2 linked regions of the Canis lupus familiaris genome follow. The protein of the gene in region 2 purifies or fractionates together with the protein of the main gene of each other region. This does not show direct contact. Links are inferred from orthologs where the notes say so. Each region holds a gene or a part of one and is shown on either strand. Other genes may lie near its edges.

Evidence for each region.
Region 1: the proteins of FBXO45 (region 2) and FBXW7 purify together in Homo sapiens (affinity purification with mass spectrometry; 4 studies listed by BioGRID and IntAct, counting the BioPlex papers as one, with this or other methods). This does not show direct contact. The link is inferred for Canis lupus familiaris from reciprocal best matches to the Homo sapiens genes FBXO45 and FBXW7.

What each region holds. Positions count from the first base shown.
Region 1 is NC_049236.1:50,631,475-50,639,421, forward strand, and holds part of FBXW7 (F-box/WD repeat-containing protein 7), read right to left. Parts: intron 6,448-7,947; 5' UTR 6,398-6,447; intron 5,769-6,397; 5' UTR 5,700-5,768; coding exon 5,184-5,699; intron 1-5,183. UniProt on the Homo sapiens protein: Substrate recognition component of a SCF (SKP1-CUL1-F-box protein) E3 ubiquitin-protein ligase complex which mediates the ubiquitination and subsequent proteasomal degradation of target proteins.
Region 2 is NC_049254.1:30,334,358-30,341,180, forward strand, and holds the end of FBXO45 (F-box/SPRY domain-containing protein 1), read left to right. Parts: intron 1-2,991; coding exon 2,992-3,177; 3' UTR 3,178-6,163; downstream 6,164-6,823. UniProt on the Homo sapiens protein: Component of E3 ubiquitin ligase complex consisting of FBXO45, MYCBP2 and SKP1. Functions in substrate recognition but also plays an important role in assembly of the complex.

The sequences.
Region 1 (7,947 bases), on a different chromosome or scaffold from region 2:
GTCCACCGAAGGTGAATGGATAAAGAAGATGTGGTCTATGTATACAATGGAATATTACTTAGCCATTAGAAATGACAAATACCCACCATTTGCTTTGACGTGGATGGAACTGGAGGGTATTATGCTGAGTGAAATACTCGGAGAAGGACAAACATTATATGGTCTCATTCATTTGGGGAATATAAAAAATAGTGAAAGGGAATAAAGGGGAAAGGAGAAAAAAGGAGTGGGAAATATCAGAAAGGGAGACAGAACATGAGAGACTCCTAACTCTGGGAAACGAACAAGGGGTGGTAGAAAGGGAGGTGGGTGAGGGGCTGAGGGTGACTGGGTGACGGGCACTGAGGGGGGCACTTGATGCGATGAGCACTAGGTGTTATGCTATATGTTGGCAAATCGAACACCAATAAAAAATAGATAGATAGATAGATACATAGATAGATAGATAGATAGATAGATAGATAAATAAATAAATAAATAAATAAATAAATAAATAAATAAATAAAATTTTAAAAAAAGAAATAAGTTTGATGTACTCTGGAAAAAGTGATACCTGTTCTCCAATCTCAAATTTCACCATCATTTCTTCTTGTTACAATTTAGCCTCAAGCCTTCATATCTTCAAAAATCTTTGTTAGATACCACAAAGTAAAGCAGTTAATTGAACCCTCTGAACCTTCACTAAAGGGTAGCTCTGATGATTTCAAATATGACATGGTATTAGAAAGACATCACACTCCAGAGTCTAGAACCTAAACACACCGGCAGTTATGCTGAAAATCTCATGTAGTAATGTTGGCAAAATTCTACCACAGGGGGCAGCATAGCACATGGAGAGAAAGGGGGATTTCTGAAATTAGGCAGATCTGGATTAAAATCGCTGGTCATAGTCTTGTCATATGATTAAGGATGTGGAAGTAAATTGTAAACTCTAAAGGGCTATGTAAATGGTGAATGCTACTCTAAGCCTAATAAAACAAAACTGCCCTCAAAAAAAAATCAAATCAAATCAAATCAAATCTCTGGTCACTTTGAGTTTGATTTTTGGGTGAATCATTTGGGCTTTCTTACTTTTATTTACTTATCTATCGTAGGGACTTGCAAACAGTATGGACTTAATAAATACCAATTCTTGACTGCCAGTACCCTTGAATTTTAACATTAAAATGGTCTGAAATTTTAATGTATATTATTGCATAGCCTCCGATACAAACAAATCTTTGGTGACTAGAGGAGAAAAAAAGACTGATACTTTTAGTATGTTTTCAAAGAAAAGACCAATGCCAGGAAGGACAAAAATGGTTTTTCTCATTACCATATTTGAAAAACAACATGTTCAGAAATGACCAACAAATAAGCATAGCTGTCCACAGGGAATGTTTAAGAAACTGCCACACACACACACACACACAAAACAAAACCAAAAACACAACCAAAAGAAAAACACCACACTTGAAAGCTATTTTGGGTAAAACTACAGGCTAATTCCGTATGTTTTTTTAAAGATTTTATTTATTTATTCATGAGAGACGCACAGAAAGAGGCAGAGACAGGCAGAGGGAGAAGCAGGCTCCCCTCAGGGAGCCTGATGTGGGACTTGATCTCTGGAATAATGCCCTGAGCGGAAGGCAGAAGCTCAACCACTGAGGCACTCAGGCATCCTGCTAATCCCATATTAAGGTGAAAAGAAAGGGATTTTTTAAATGATTCTTATACCTTTACTCTCTTCAAAAGTCACGATTTAAGAAGTCTTAAAACTGTGGCCCAGAGTAATGTCTATAGAAGTGTTTTATGTTTATAATAATCAAGAATTTAAAGCTGCTCTAAAATAAAATCTATAAAATAATGAGACCTTTTCCTCATTTACTGTATTAAAAAGATTTATATACATGGGTGACTGACATTTTCTTTATAAGCAATGAAGTAATATGTGACATCTTTAAAGTGTTGGTGAAAAAATAAAGTACTCTGGGAACAATTGTAAAGAAGAGATCCAGGAAAAGAGAAAAAGGAAAATGGGCCAATTTTAACCTGAAATACTACTCTGCAGAGGGGCATCGTTGCCTTGGCAGTCAAATAGTTTATATTCTTCTTGCCATATCTGTGCAGGAAAATGACCTCAAAATAAACAATAAATACATCCAAAGTGTGTACACCAGGATACACACACACACACACACACACACACAAACACCTATGCACATATATACATCTAATTCCTGCTGTCACTAGTACTCAGTCTACTCCTATGGCCTTGTATGTACAGCACAATAATATGCATTCATCACTCAAGAGACACTAGAAAAAAACTGACCTAAAATCGATACTTTGCTTTTTTTTAAATTTATTTTATTTTATTTTATTTATTTATGATAGGCACACAGTGAGAGAGAGAGAGAGAGGCAGAGACATAGGCAGAGGGAGAAGCAGGCTCCATGCACCGGGAGCCCGACGTGGGATTCGATCCCGGGTCTCCAGGATTGCACCCTGGGCCAAAGGCAAGCGCTAAACCGCTGCGCCACCCAGGGATCCCTGTTACTTTGCTTTTACGGATGTAACTAAATAACTGTATAAGAAGACATATCTAAAAGTTCTATTTACAGTTTCATCTTAAAGGGTGGGGGGGAAGAATGATAAAGCATCTGTCAAATCTGTGTACTAGTAGTTTTCCTGCAGAATAATCTGATGACTTTTCCTTCTGGAAAAAGCTATGTTTTGTCTAGCTGGCTTTCTTGTTTTTAATTTAAAATATAGCACAACTTGCTGATAGCTTTGCATTTTTCAACAAGGCTTAGTTTTGATTAAACTTCTTTCTTAAATAAGCTAATACAACCAAATACTAAGCCCCATTCCCCAACCTGAACCTTCAGACAAAAGAGAGACATAAACCCCCTCTTTAGATGTAGTAACCTTGAGGGAGAGAGATCAAGAGATCAGGGAGATAGAAGCTGGCAGGATTGCATTATAAAAGTCCTTAGCCTTACCAAAAAGCAGGGCTGTAGCTATTAGAGGTAGAGCTTCTTCTTAGATCAAACCAACTAAATAAAATCTAAACTTGCAGACAGGCTAGGGAAATCAGGGATAAACATGTTTTAGAAGAGTTTAAAGTTTTACAACCTGAAGCAAAAATGATACAGCAATTCAAGTATTAAACCTAGCATCAAAATTATTCATTCTAGGTCAAGTTACATTAAAGAAGATGATGTTACATGTGTTTGTATATTATGGGCTAAACAGATGATTCACTTTTCAATTTAAAAATAAGCAAATAAGAGTAAGTGGATAAACCACATGAACATTATTTTAATTTTGAATAACTGAATTAAAATGTTCCATTCCAAAGAAATGTTTGACTTATAAGTCTACTCTACATGGATATTCATGATTTTTATCTAATTTTCAAATGATGAAGAACCAAAAAGCATGCAAACAAAGATTTATGAATGTAGAAGGCTGAGGGGGAAGAAAAGGATAGAAGTTGTGCTACATACCTCATTCATTCTGAGTATAATTCTTTTTACTTTCTTTCCTCTTTAAATAGACTAGTATATAGCAACACTGCCTAAAATATTGATTAAAATAAATTCTAACTCCAGCAAAAAGTACATGATGTCTTACTGAATTTCCTGTAATTTCAATAGCACCAAAATACAAAGAAAATAAAATTCAACATAGAGAAGTCAGCACTTACTTGACTTAGGAGCTAGTCAACAAGACCAAGATATGTAAAGAAAACTCCTATTTCCAACTTTGATTATCATTTTCTGAGGTCTGTGTGTGTGCTCATATTCTTCACAACTTAAAAATGTTTCAATTATGTAATATTTTAAACATACTTTAAAAACCACACAGAAAAACACCTACAAACCATCCCCATCTCTGGAACCCAATTTCAATATTCAGCAACTCATGGCCAATCTATATCCTCTTTCCTTTTCTCCTTCAGGATTATTTTGAAGCAAAGCCCAGACACTGTATCATTTCATTTTGACTATCATTTGAAGGAGGGCTGGGGGCGAGGAATATACAGGAAAATTAGGGAGAGAAGTAACACTGCTGTTTTTTCTCTATAATGCCAACCTCTTGTCATAACCATAATTTTAAAGGATATAATAATATCCAAGAATATTTTGAGGAAAGAAGCCCACATGCCATCCCAAAGAACAAGCACTGGCAATTCCAAATTTACTGCAGCTGCCCAATCACTTCCTCCTTCTATTTCAGACACACTTCAATGTTCAGGACCTCCCTGCCTATCTAGTAGCAAAGATGATCCTAGGGAGCAGTGATATTCCAGTCCTTATTCTCTGATAGAGCCTCAAAGGACAATGTCCAGTGGAACTGTTTTTCTCAGCACTAGATTATCACCAAGTCCCAGAGTTGATAAGATTTCTCTGATTTAGACAAAAGTCTAATTGTCTACCTTTTAAAATAGGTCTAAGGCTAAGGGATGTCTGGGTAGCTCAGTCAGTTAAGCAACCAACTCTTGATTTCAGCTCAGGTCATGAGGTCAAGCCCCAGTGTCAGGCTCCATGCTGGGCGTGGAACCTGCTTAAGATTCTCTTTCTCCCTCTGTCCCTTCCCCCAACACCCTGCTGCTCATGTATGCACACACTCTCTCTCTAAAAATGAAAACAAAAACCATGCCTATGGCTAACTCCATGGGCTACTACTGGCCAAATGAATAAGGAGGCACATACAACAGACAGACAGAGCTGTCTCTTAGGAATGGGAAAGAAAATGAAAACTGCAAATAAGGGAAGTAGTGACAGAAACTTAACAATAATTTGTGCCTTGGAGTAACACCTGTAAATAAACAGCCTACCCCAACCACCTGCGTTTTTTAAATAAGAAAAGATTCTTTGCTACTTGATTTACATAAAACATGTTTCACTCCAATCCTCTCCACTGCACACAAACTACTAACCTCTGTCGTAGGGATAAAATTTGTTATCAATAATTTTTCATAGTAATAGGATTAATTACCTTCGATTTGTAATAAGATTGTCCTATTATCAGTATTTCTATTTCTAATACCTTCCATAAAACAAAACTTAGTTCATTTTATTATTACACATCTGAAGTTAATTTTGCAGCAGTAACAAAGACTGTGAGGAAAGTTTCATCACAATTCATATGAATAGGTAAATGTCTCAGGGGAACAGCAGACTAAATATACTCACTTTTGTTGTCTTTGTATAGAATGGGGAGGAGAGTTGGTGAATAGGCAGGTCCACGATACTAGTGGAGTTTGTGACACTGTTACTATGTGTATGGTCATCTTCCCTGCTACTGTCATCAGATTGATCAAAATCATCACTCTCCTGGTCCATTTCCTCTTCTTCTTCATCCTCCTCATCTTGTTCACCAGCATGTTCTTCATCTTCTTCTTGCTCTTCTTGGTTTCCTGAGGAGTCCTCATCTACCGAAATGAATCGATTATTGTTTTCTTCCAAATGTCCTTGCTGGGAATCATTTTGGTCTCCAGGTCTAGGTTCTGCTCCGACGACTTCACCATTCCTTGCAGTGTGCTCCTCCTCTTGTTGTCTGAGCTGTTGCTGCTGTTGCTGCTGCTGCTGTTCCTCCTCTACCACACGATTCATCTGTTCCTCATCTGCCTGGCTTGAGGAAGGGTTACCTCTCAGAGAGCCTCCAGTTCGTCGTCGTTTGCTGCCCACAGAGAGCAGTTCCTGATTCATTTCCAAAAGCCAGCTTGCTACTTCTTGGACCTTGGCTAGACTATCAGAAGATGCAAAGGATTTCACATTCTGTAGGGAAAAATGAGGGGGGGAAAAAAGGTTTGTACAATTTACATTATCTTTCATTTTTATGTTCTAGGTCTATATTCCACATTTTATTAAAGACTATAAAAAGTATTTGATGCTACTGAGACATTAGGTGTTCTTTAGGAATAAACAGGAAGTTTAAAATGTAGAAATTATGAGACTTTATAGATATACACAAAAATCACATGGTAAACATTATTTTAATATTTTAAAAAATAATTTTAAATTGAAGCTTCATAATTTAATTGCTTTCACCAATAAAACATAATTTAACCAATAAAATGATTTTCAATTATCAATCCATAAACTATCTTTTATAAAACTTCCAGAAAATGTTATGAAGTATATCATAAAAAACTATCCAGTGATCAGTTAAGTTCAGGAAATGCTCAGGTAAACCAAGATAAAAAGGCTTTTTTTACTTTAGGAATTTCCCAAACTTCTCTAATCATAGAACCTTGCCTTAAGACATGGTTTTCTGACAGGTACCAAGTATAATCATTATGGTTTTCATTTTTCACAACGAATATAAACAACAGGAGCACGAATAAACAAAAAAAATCTTATTTTTATTTTTTTTAAAAAAGGAAAAAAAGTTCATAAGTTCATACCCTCTGACCCAGTAACTCCACTTCTGGCAATCTATCCTAAGGAAGTAATCCTAAAACAGAAAAAAAAATTATGCAAAGGATGCTCACTGCAGCTTTATCCACAAAAGCAAAAAATGAAAATAAACGTAAATAAAAATAACCAAAACCCAAATGTTCAAGACAAAGGAATCCATGAGATAGGATATTTATAGTGCAATCCCTAAACCAATGTGCATTTTTTTTTAAAAATGTGAGAACATGGATGTTTATATTATGCTAAGGGCAAAGCACAAGTAATTATATGATCATAGCATGATTTTTAAACTGCATAAAGACTAGAAGATAATATTTCAAAATATAAACTGCATTTAGGCAGCGGTATCATAAGTGCCTTAAACTTACTTTTTAATCATATTTTTCAAATGCTTTCTATCAAACACATCTGCTTTCATGTTTTATAGACTCTAAAATTTGATCTGATAGAATCTTTTTATAATGCTCAGTCTTAAATTTCATCCTTTGCAGATTATCTATATGGACATGTTTGAGGTTACATAAAATAATGCCAACACACCACCCACATTCATATAAAATTTTTAAAAATATCTTTAAGGTTTATGAGATCTAAGAAATATAATATCCATCTTTCTATCATGTCCTAAGAATAAGGACATTATATCACAATAGTCTTCAGATAAAACAGCCTTATCTACTTTTCAAACCCTTGCCACAAGAGGTAAATTCCCCAAAGGTCCATAGTTCTCATTGTAAGTTTTGAAATGGGGTCTGAAAGTCTGAAAAGTAGTTTTAAAATAGCAGTATTTCATTTTCTTTTCTATAATCTCCACTTTCCAGGAAAAAAAGGTGTAGTGTGTGTGGGGAAATTCTTTAATTCTAATTACCACTAGAAGTATAGAAAAAGAAAAGTTCCAACAACTGACCTATAAGACATTCCAACATTCTGAGTGAAAGAGTAACCAACAAAGATGACTAAAACAAGGAGAACTGGAAATAAGTGGTATCCCCGAAGCGTTGAAGTAAAGAAAGCATACCCAGGAGGAGAAAATATAAAATGACATCTGTTGATGATAGATCAAATAGTATGAAGAGAAAGAACTGACCACTGGATTTAGTAATGTGGAAGTCACTAGTAACAAGAGTTTTATTAATTGAAATCTGATTAAAGTAGATCTAAGAGACTAGGAAAACAGAATAGATATGATGGGTATGAACAAGTTAGGAGTATGCTGCAAAAAAAAAAAACTGAAAGGGAGTCAGGGAAAACAGTCAAAAGAAGAAATTTTTTATTCTTTAAGATTCTGTAAGATTGGAGACTAGCAGTATATCTGTATGCTGTATGCTGACAAGAATGACCCACTACAAAACAAAAAATTGATAATGTAATCATGAAAGAGAAGAAATAGTGAAATTAAAAGGGAATGATGAGAATGAGTTCAAAATTGGAAGGACTAATTTTAGTTTAAAAAATGGATACTTCAATGATGGGAAAGAAGAGTGGTATTATAGGTACTTTAAATTTGTTTCTTTTTATCATAGTTCCCAAGGTGGAA
Region 2 (6,823 bases):
TACCTTGATTTGTTCTAAATTTACACAATTTTATATAGCAGCTTTGTATGTATTTCTTTTAATTTAAAAATAAATAGTGTAACTCGCCTTTCTTTTCTACTCTAATAATCTTTTGGTATTTCCCTGTTTCCTGATACATATTTGACCTTGAGCAATCTGTTGGTCTAAGTTGGGAGTTGGCAAACCTTTCTGTACAGGGCAGGTAGTAAACATTTCAGGACTTGTGGTCACCACTATTCAAGTCTGTTGTTAATAGTACAAAAGCAGCCATAAATGATATGTAAATGAGTGAGCATAGCTGTGTTATAGTAAAACCTTATTTATGGGCCACAGGCAAGACTTGGCCCAATGACCATAGTTTCCCATCTCATGCTCTAGATTGTCATCTTTTCTATATCGTGGCACATCCAAATCTACTTTCTCTAGACTTCTTACTCCCATAAATGCACCTATGCACATGCATACAAATACCCTCTGCTATTCATTAATCTGTTTATGGATTCAAGGCCTCAGGAGGTATCAGTGATTTCTATAAGACAGGCAAATTCATGCAAACCACTGCATTTTTTTATTCTTTTCATCTTAATGTTATACCATATTCATTTGATTCTGGGGTCAAAATTATAGTTCCTATTTGTAAAAGCCATATGATTACCATAGGGTCAACGGAGTTTAAAACACAGAAATCTGATAAGAAATTGAAATTTTTAAGGAATTATAGACTTAAAGGAGTCATTTCATAATGATAAGAGAATCAAATAGGGAGATATAACAACTGTAAATATATCTGCACACAATAATAGAGCCCCAAAACACATGAAGCAAAAACTTACAGAACCGAAAGAAGGAATAGATAAATTACCAAGTATAGTTGGAAATTTCAGTACTCATTGTTTTTAAGTCTGTTTTGTCTGATGTTTTTTTTTTTTTTTTTTTGTCTGATGTTAATATAACTTTAGTTTTCTTAAGCTTACTATTGCAAGGTATCTCTTTTTCTCCATTCTTTTACTTTAATCATCTATCTTTGTCTTTAAAATGGGTCTCCTAGAGGGCATATAACTGGGTCTTCTCTAACCCAATCTTATTATCTCTGCCTATTGATTTGAGTGTTTAACCCATTTATATTCAGTGTAGTTGTTGGACTGCTTGATGTGGTCTGTGTCTTTCTATCACTGAAGCTATGTTCTTGTTTAAGAAATATTTTTTCTCCTTGTTTTTTGGACCAGATTATTTCTCTTGCTCCATCTTCAAATTTATTGATTATTTCTTCTTACCATTTCAGTTCTGCTGTTAAGCCAGGCTAGTGAATTTTGGTTATTGTACTCTTCAGCTCTAAAATTTTCATTTGGTTCTTTATTGTAGTTTTCATTTCTCTATTGAGAATCTGTATCTGTCCATCAATATTAGATTTTTCTTTAATTCTTTGCACATATTTATAATAAGTGCTTTGAATTCTTTGTCTGCCAAATCCAACATGTAGGCCTACTTGGAGTCTGTTTCTGTTGACTCTTTTTCTCCCCCAGAGTATGAATTGCACTTTTCTGTTTCTTTTCATATCCAATCATTTTTAAATTGGAAATTCTAGATAATATGTATTAAATACTGGAATCTTTTATTTCTAGAGATCATTTTATTTTTCTGAAAATTAGATGTTCTAGTTAACTTGCCTACTAGATTTGATTCTTCATCAAACTGTAAACCCTTGTCTGCCCCATGGTGTACAGCAGCTTATGTCTTTGTTCAGATTTGGGGGTTTTAGGGAAAGAGGGGTTGGCTTCTAGCTGCTGTTTTTCCAGCTTGATTCTTTGGAGATTTTCCCTGTGTCAGTGTAAGACTGTGATCACACAATGATTTGGTCAATTTATTCTCAGATTTTGGGGCTCATCCTCTTTGTGGTTCTCTTGCTTCTAGAGTTCTTCCTCTGTTTCCAGTTGCTCTGCCATCTCCCAGGTTTTGACCTCTGACACCTAAAGCTAGTATAATTTCTGCTTTTGCTCTCTGGCATGTGCATGCTGTACGCTCAATCAAAGGTGAAGCAAACTTGCAAATTTCACCAGGAGTGGTTCTGTCATTTTAGTTTCCATCTTCTGTTAAGTAGGGATAAATCTTAGGATAGATGGGAGGATTAAATGAGATAATACACATAAACCGCAAAATGAATACCCAGCAAAATATTAACTTTTCGTTTCTATTTTTTGTTGTTTGTTTTGTTGGTGGCAATAGTGATGATGGTGACGAGGATGTTCTTAGGTCCATAAAATGGGGCGCAAATTAATAAATTAGGCAAAGGGAAGAAAGAAGCAGCTGTTTGTAGTTGTCTGTGACAGAAAATACAGTGAAGGAAAGTAACAACAACAGGAATTAACATAATTGGGAAGTACTAAATTTGATTTTTTTATTGCAAATGTTAGGACTTTCTCCTCCAAGTATATAGATGTACAGCCTTTTGTAGATTCAATTATAAAAATAAAACATCCTTATTTGTCTGCTTAGTTTTCCATGTGGGAAAATATTTGGATATATTGTGCTTCTGCTTTAGTTTAACAATCAGTGCTGCTGTTTTTATAACAAACGGTGTTTCAAAGCAGTGGCCCATAAAATGACTAATACGCTTATTCTACATCTGTAGAATCTATAGTCAGGTTTGACTCTTCATGATTATGTAAGTTCCAAAGTGTATGTAGAACTGCTTTATAAACTTTATGTGTTTTTATTATAGTAATTTTTTATTGTGATAAAATATATACGTTATTTATTGTTTTAATTGTAAGTGTACGATGCAGTGACATTAGTATACTCACAATGTGTTTATCCGTCACCACTATCTATACCTAAGACTTTTTCATCTTCCCCAACACAAACTCTGTGCCCATTAAACAGTAACTTCCCATTTCTCTATTCTTAATGTTTTCAGCTTGTTGATTTGTATCTTATTTCTTCTAGCTATGCACTTGGTGAGTTTCCTTCTGACCTTTTGGTGTCTCTTTGCAGATAGGAGAAAGAATTCGAGTCATCTTGGACATGGAAGATAAGACTTTAGCTTTTGAACGTGGATATGAGTTCCTGGGGGTTGCCTTTAGAGGACTTCCAAAGGTCTGCTTATATCCAGCAGTTTCTGCTGTATATGGCAACACAGAAGTGACTTTGGTTTACCTTGGAAAACCTTTGGATGGATGACAGTGGCTTTTCTGGAATGAAAGACAGAATGGAAGAGATATCTGCTTATGGAAAGTAGAATCATGAAGTGACAGTGTCATACATGCATGCCCAAGAAACATCCTGAAAAACACATGAAATTGTTAACTGGAGAAGCAACTCTACAGCAGAGATTATCTTAGTGTATCCTCTTTCTACTGGGCCAGAAAAATCCTCAGGGTTGCAGTTGGTTGAGTGGGCAGTTGACATATGCATGTTGCAACAGATTTGGTCTCTAAGTTAGCAATGTGTTAATTTCCAACTTTTAAGGTGAGATTTTAGAGATGCTATAAAAGGGATAAGATAAGGAAATAGCAAGATTTTTAAGTAGTGTGTTTGTGAAGAAAGACTGATCCTGTTTTACAACTGCCTGTTTTTTCTCCAGACCCTTTTTCCCAGCCAGCTTGACTAATAGAAAAGTATGAAACTGGTTGGGTTTTATTTAATATTTTTAATATATTGAGAAGCATGGTCTGCCTGGACTGCACTTCTCTAACAGTGAGATGTAAAATTGTGCAGCTATTTTAAAAGTTGTATATATAATAAGTGTGTAAAAAAAACTGTAAAAAAAATAGGACAAAGGGGTTGCTTTGTTCTAGTTCAATTTCTTAAAAACCACTACATGGTACAAAATTAGAATAACATTTAGGGAAAATTAGGTAACTACAAAGAAGAGGATTTTAAGAGGAGATGTGTTATATTGGCTCATTTTTAAATTAGTTTTGTTTACAGTTTCCATAGCTATTACAGTCTGGTTATTTTTCTTTTAATGATCAAAATTATTGTAAAGATCCCTCAGTCTCCTAGTTTAAGATTGAGGCAAGGCAAATCTATTTCTAATTATACATATGTCAGTAGTAGTAATGATAATGTACGTCCTCTAGTATCTGGTTTTATTTTTTGGCCTTTTGAGAAAGTGTCTCATAACAACACAGAACATTGCCATTTGCTCTTACAGGCCTCAAATATGAAAGCTGTTAGTCACAGACCTAAGGAAAAGGATTAATGGTTCTTTTATTTTGTAACTTTATAATGCTGTAGATATTATAATTTTTTTTTAAATTTTATATTGTTTACATCATGGCAACAAAATCTAAGCCTCAAACTCTTCATTGGGGTTATCAAGAAAATGTTTACTCACCCACCTGAAACAGTGCCAGCCTGAACCCAGGTTAAGAATGTTCTTAATCTCATTATAGATAATTGCCCCCATGGGACTTGAAATAAAATACCTTGTGCTGTAAACTTCAGGTTGGCAATGTTTTGAAGGTTTCCTTATAGAAGAGCTTGACATTAATTCCTATTCTGAGTTTTTGACTAATAAATCTGATTTCACTAATACTCTTGAATTAATAACATATATGAGCTGAGATTTTCTTTTATAAGAGAAACAACCATCATCTTTCTGTATGAAAGTATATAAATACATGGTTTCAGATACATCTTTGTGATAAGAATTGACTAAGGCAGGTATAATCTTTGCCTTTGAGCTTATTGCTGTGTGTAATTTTGTTTTAAATCTAATCAAATTAGGGACAGCAAGCAGCTGGCTGGGGCTTTTGGGTTGCTCCTTGAGAGTTAAGATTATCAATATTCTTATGAAGCAGGGAATTTCAGTCATGAACAAAGATCTATTTTTGCCACCTGACAGGTTTACAAATATTTATTGTGTATTTGGTATGTTGCTTAAAAGCAAAATCTGTTAAAGATCCTTTTTAATATCCATGTCAAAAAGAACCCTCCTGGAAACCATATTTAGTAGTACAGAGTGAAATTATATGTTAAATGTATTAGAGAATATAGCTGCTACAGAAATTGATTTTTCTTGGTGTAGAACAACTCAATTTGGCAAAGTTTAAAATTTGAAGAAAAGAACTGATTCAGGATGCAGATTGATAAATGATGAAACAATGAAGTCCCTTATGTGCTTGGTGTTTTTTCAGGGTGTTGTGATATAGCCAATTCCAAGAGCTTTTGCTGAGTTTTGTTTATAACTTCTGTTTTGTCCTATTAGTATAACATTCATTTGTTACAAAGTTTGGAAGGTGCTGAATGGAAAACAGAAACACATGGTTATTGCACATTGAACCTAGAATCAAATAATTGCCTAAGTATTTAACAACAAGCCATTCTTATCTCAAAGACTTAAATTCTCTAATATGCTATTTGCAGATTTTATAAAATGGAGGTTCATATTTAGAATAAACATCAGGGGAATCAAGAGCCTTCATTTATAACCTGATTATTTTATTACTGGAGACCAATAGTAGTTGTATAGAGAATATTAAACTGTTACAATGTTTAAGGAAAAGGAATCTCTTGTTGATACTGAGAGAGCTTTCAAGTAGAATACAGTTGTACCTGAAGGTTAAGTATAAATCTTCTAAACCAGTGATTCTCACACTTAGCTTTGGAGTCATGTGCATTTTGAAAAATATTGATGTATCCTAAAATTCTGATGTTAGTCTGGGGTATGATATGATCATAAGGATTTTTTTAAACTTCCTGGGTGATTTCAGTATGCTGCTAAGGTTGAGTTTTAAATTCACCTTAAGTTTTCTCATCTGCAAAATTAAAAAAAAAAAAATCCTTGCTCCCTCCCTTCACTACCTCACAAGCATATTGAGGGCAAAGGAGAAAATAATGGGAAAAATACTTGTATGCTGGATAAAATGTGCAATTGAAAGGCAAAACAGTATTAGTTGTATTTCAACTAAAACTATGATCAGGAAAGAAAAATGTGTAATTGAATTTACTTTGTTGACTTGGGAAACTGGGAGCATTCTCTTCGGTTCTTTAGCGAAGCATGCAGATGTGTAAACAGACTATTACTATTCATACTATGGTTTTCTGTTAAACTTGAGATAGGCTGTTTTAATTATTTGGTTCTACATAGGGAAGAAATATTGAGGCTTAAAGTCTGTAATGGCCAATGGCTCACAATTCATTAAAACTTTTCGTACAAGGAGTTCTGTGGTTAATATCATTTCATAGTTGCCATTATTTTTTTCATTATCTGACTTGAATGTTAAGCCATTTATTTCATCTTCATTCCTATGTAGGTTTAGGTATAGATTTTATAAAGCACCTAAAGCAAGTCGGTATTGCCTGGTTGAATACTTAAATTCGCGGCTCAGTGATTAGGCATCTTCTGTCTTTTAGATATGATTTGACCTGGGAAAGAGAGTTGAGAAAATAACAGCCCTAAATCATATAAAAGGTATTACAATTACTTTTTAATTTAAGTTCCCAAACTGCTGTTTATATAGACTATAATGCTAATATTTTTTGATCTTTTTAAAAAGATAAAAAGTTTTGAAGAACTAGAAATGTAAAGAGTTTTAAGAATTACTTTCTGGAAACCAAGACTGTCACCATCAGGACCACTCTGAAGCCCTCCTGGAAGGAACAGTCCATAACCAATCCAAATACTACCCTCATAAAGCATTCCTGATTTATCTAGCTGAATGTAATCTTTGCTTCCTTGAAATTTCCCTATTTTTATATTTAACTTAACTCATGCTATATTACTTTATACCTTGTATATATTTATTTATATTTATTATTTGTTGGTGTCTTATCTCCTCTCAACATCTTAGGACAGGATCTCTGATGGACTCATCTTTAT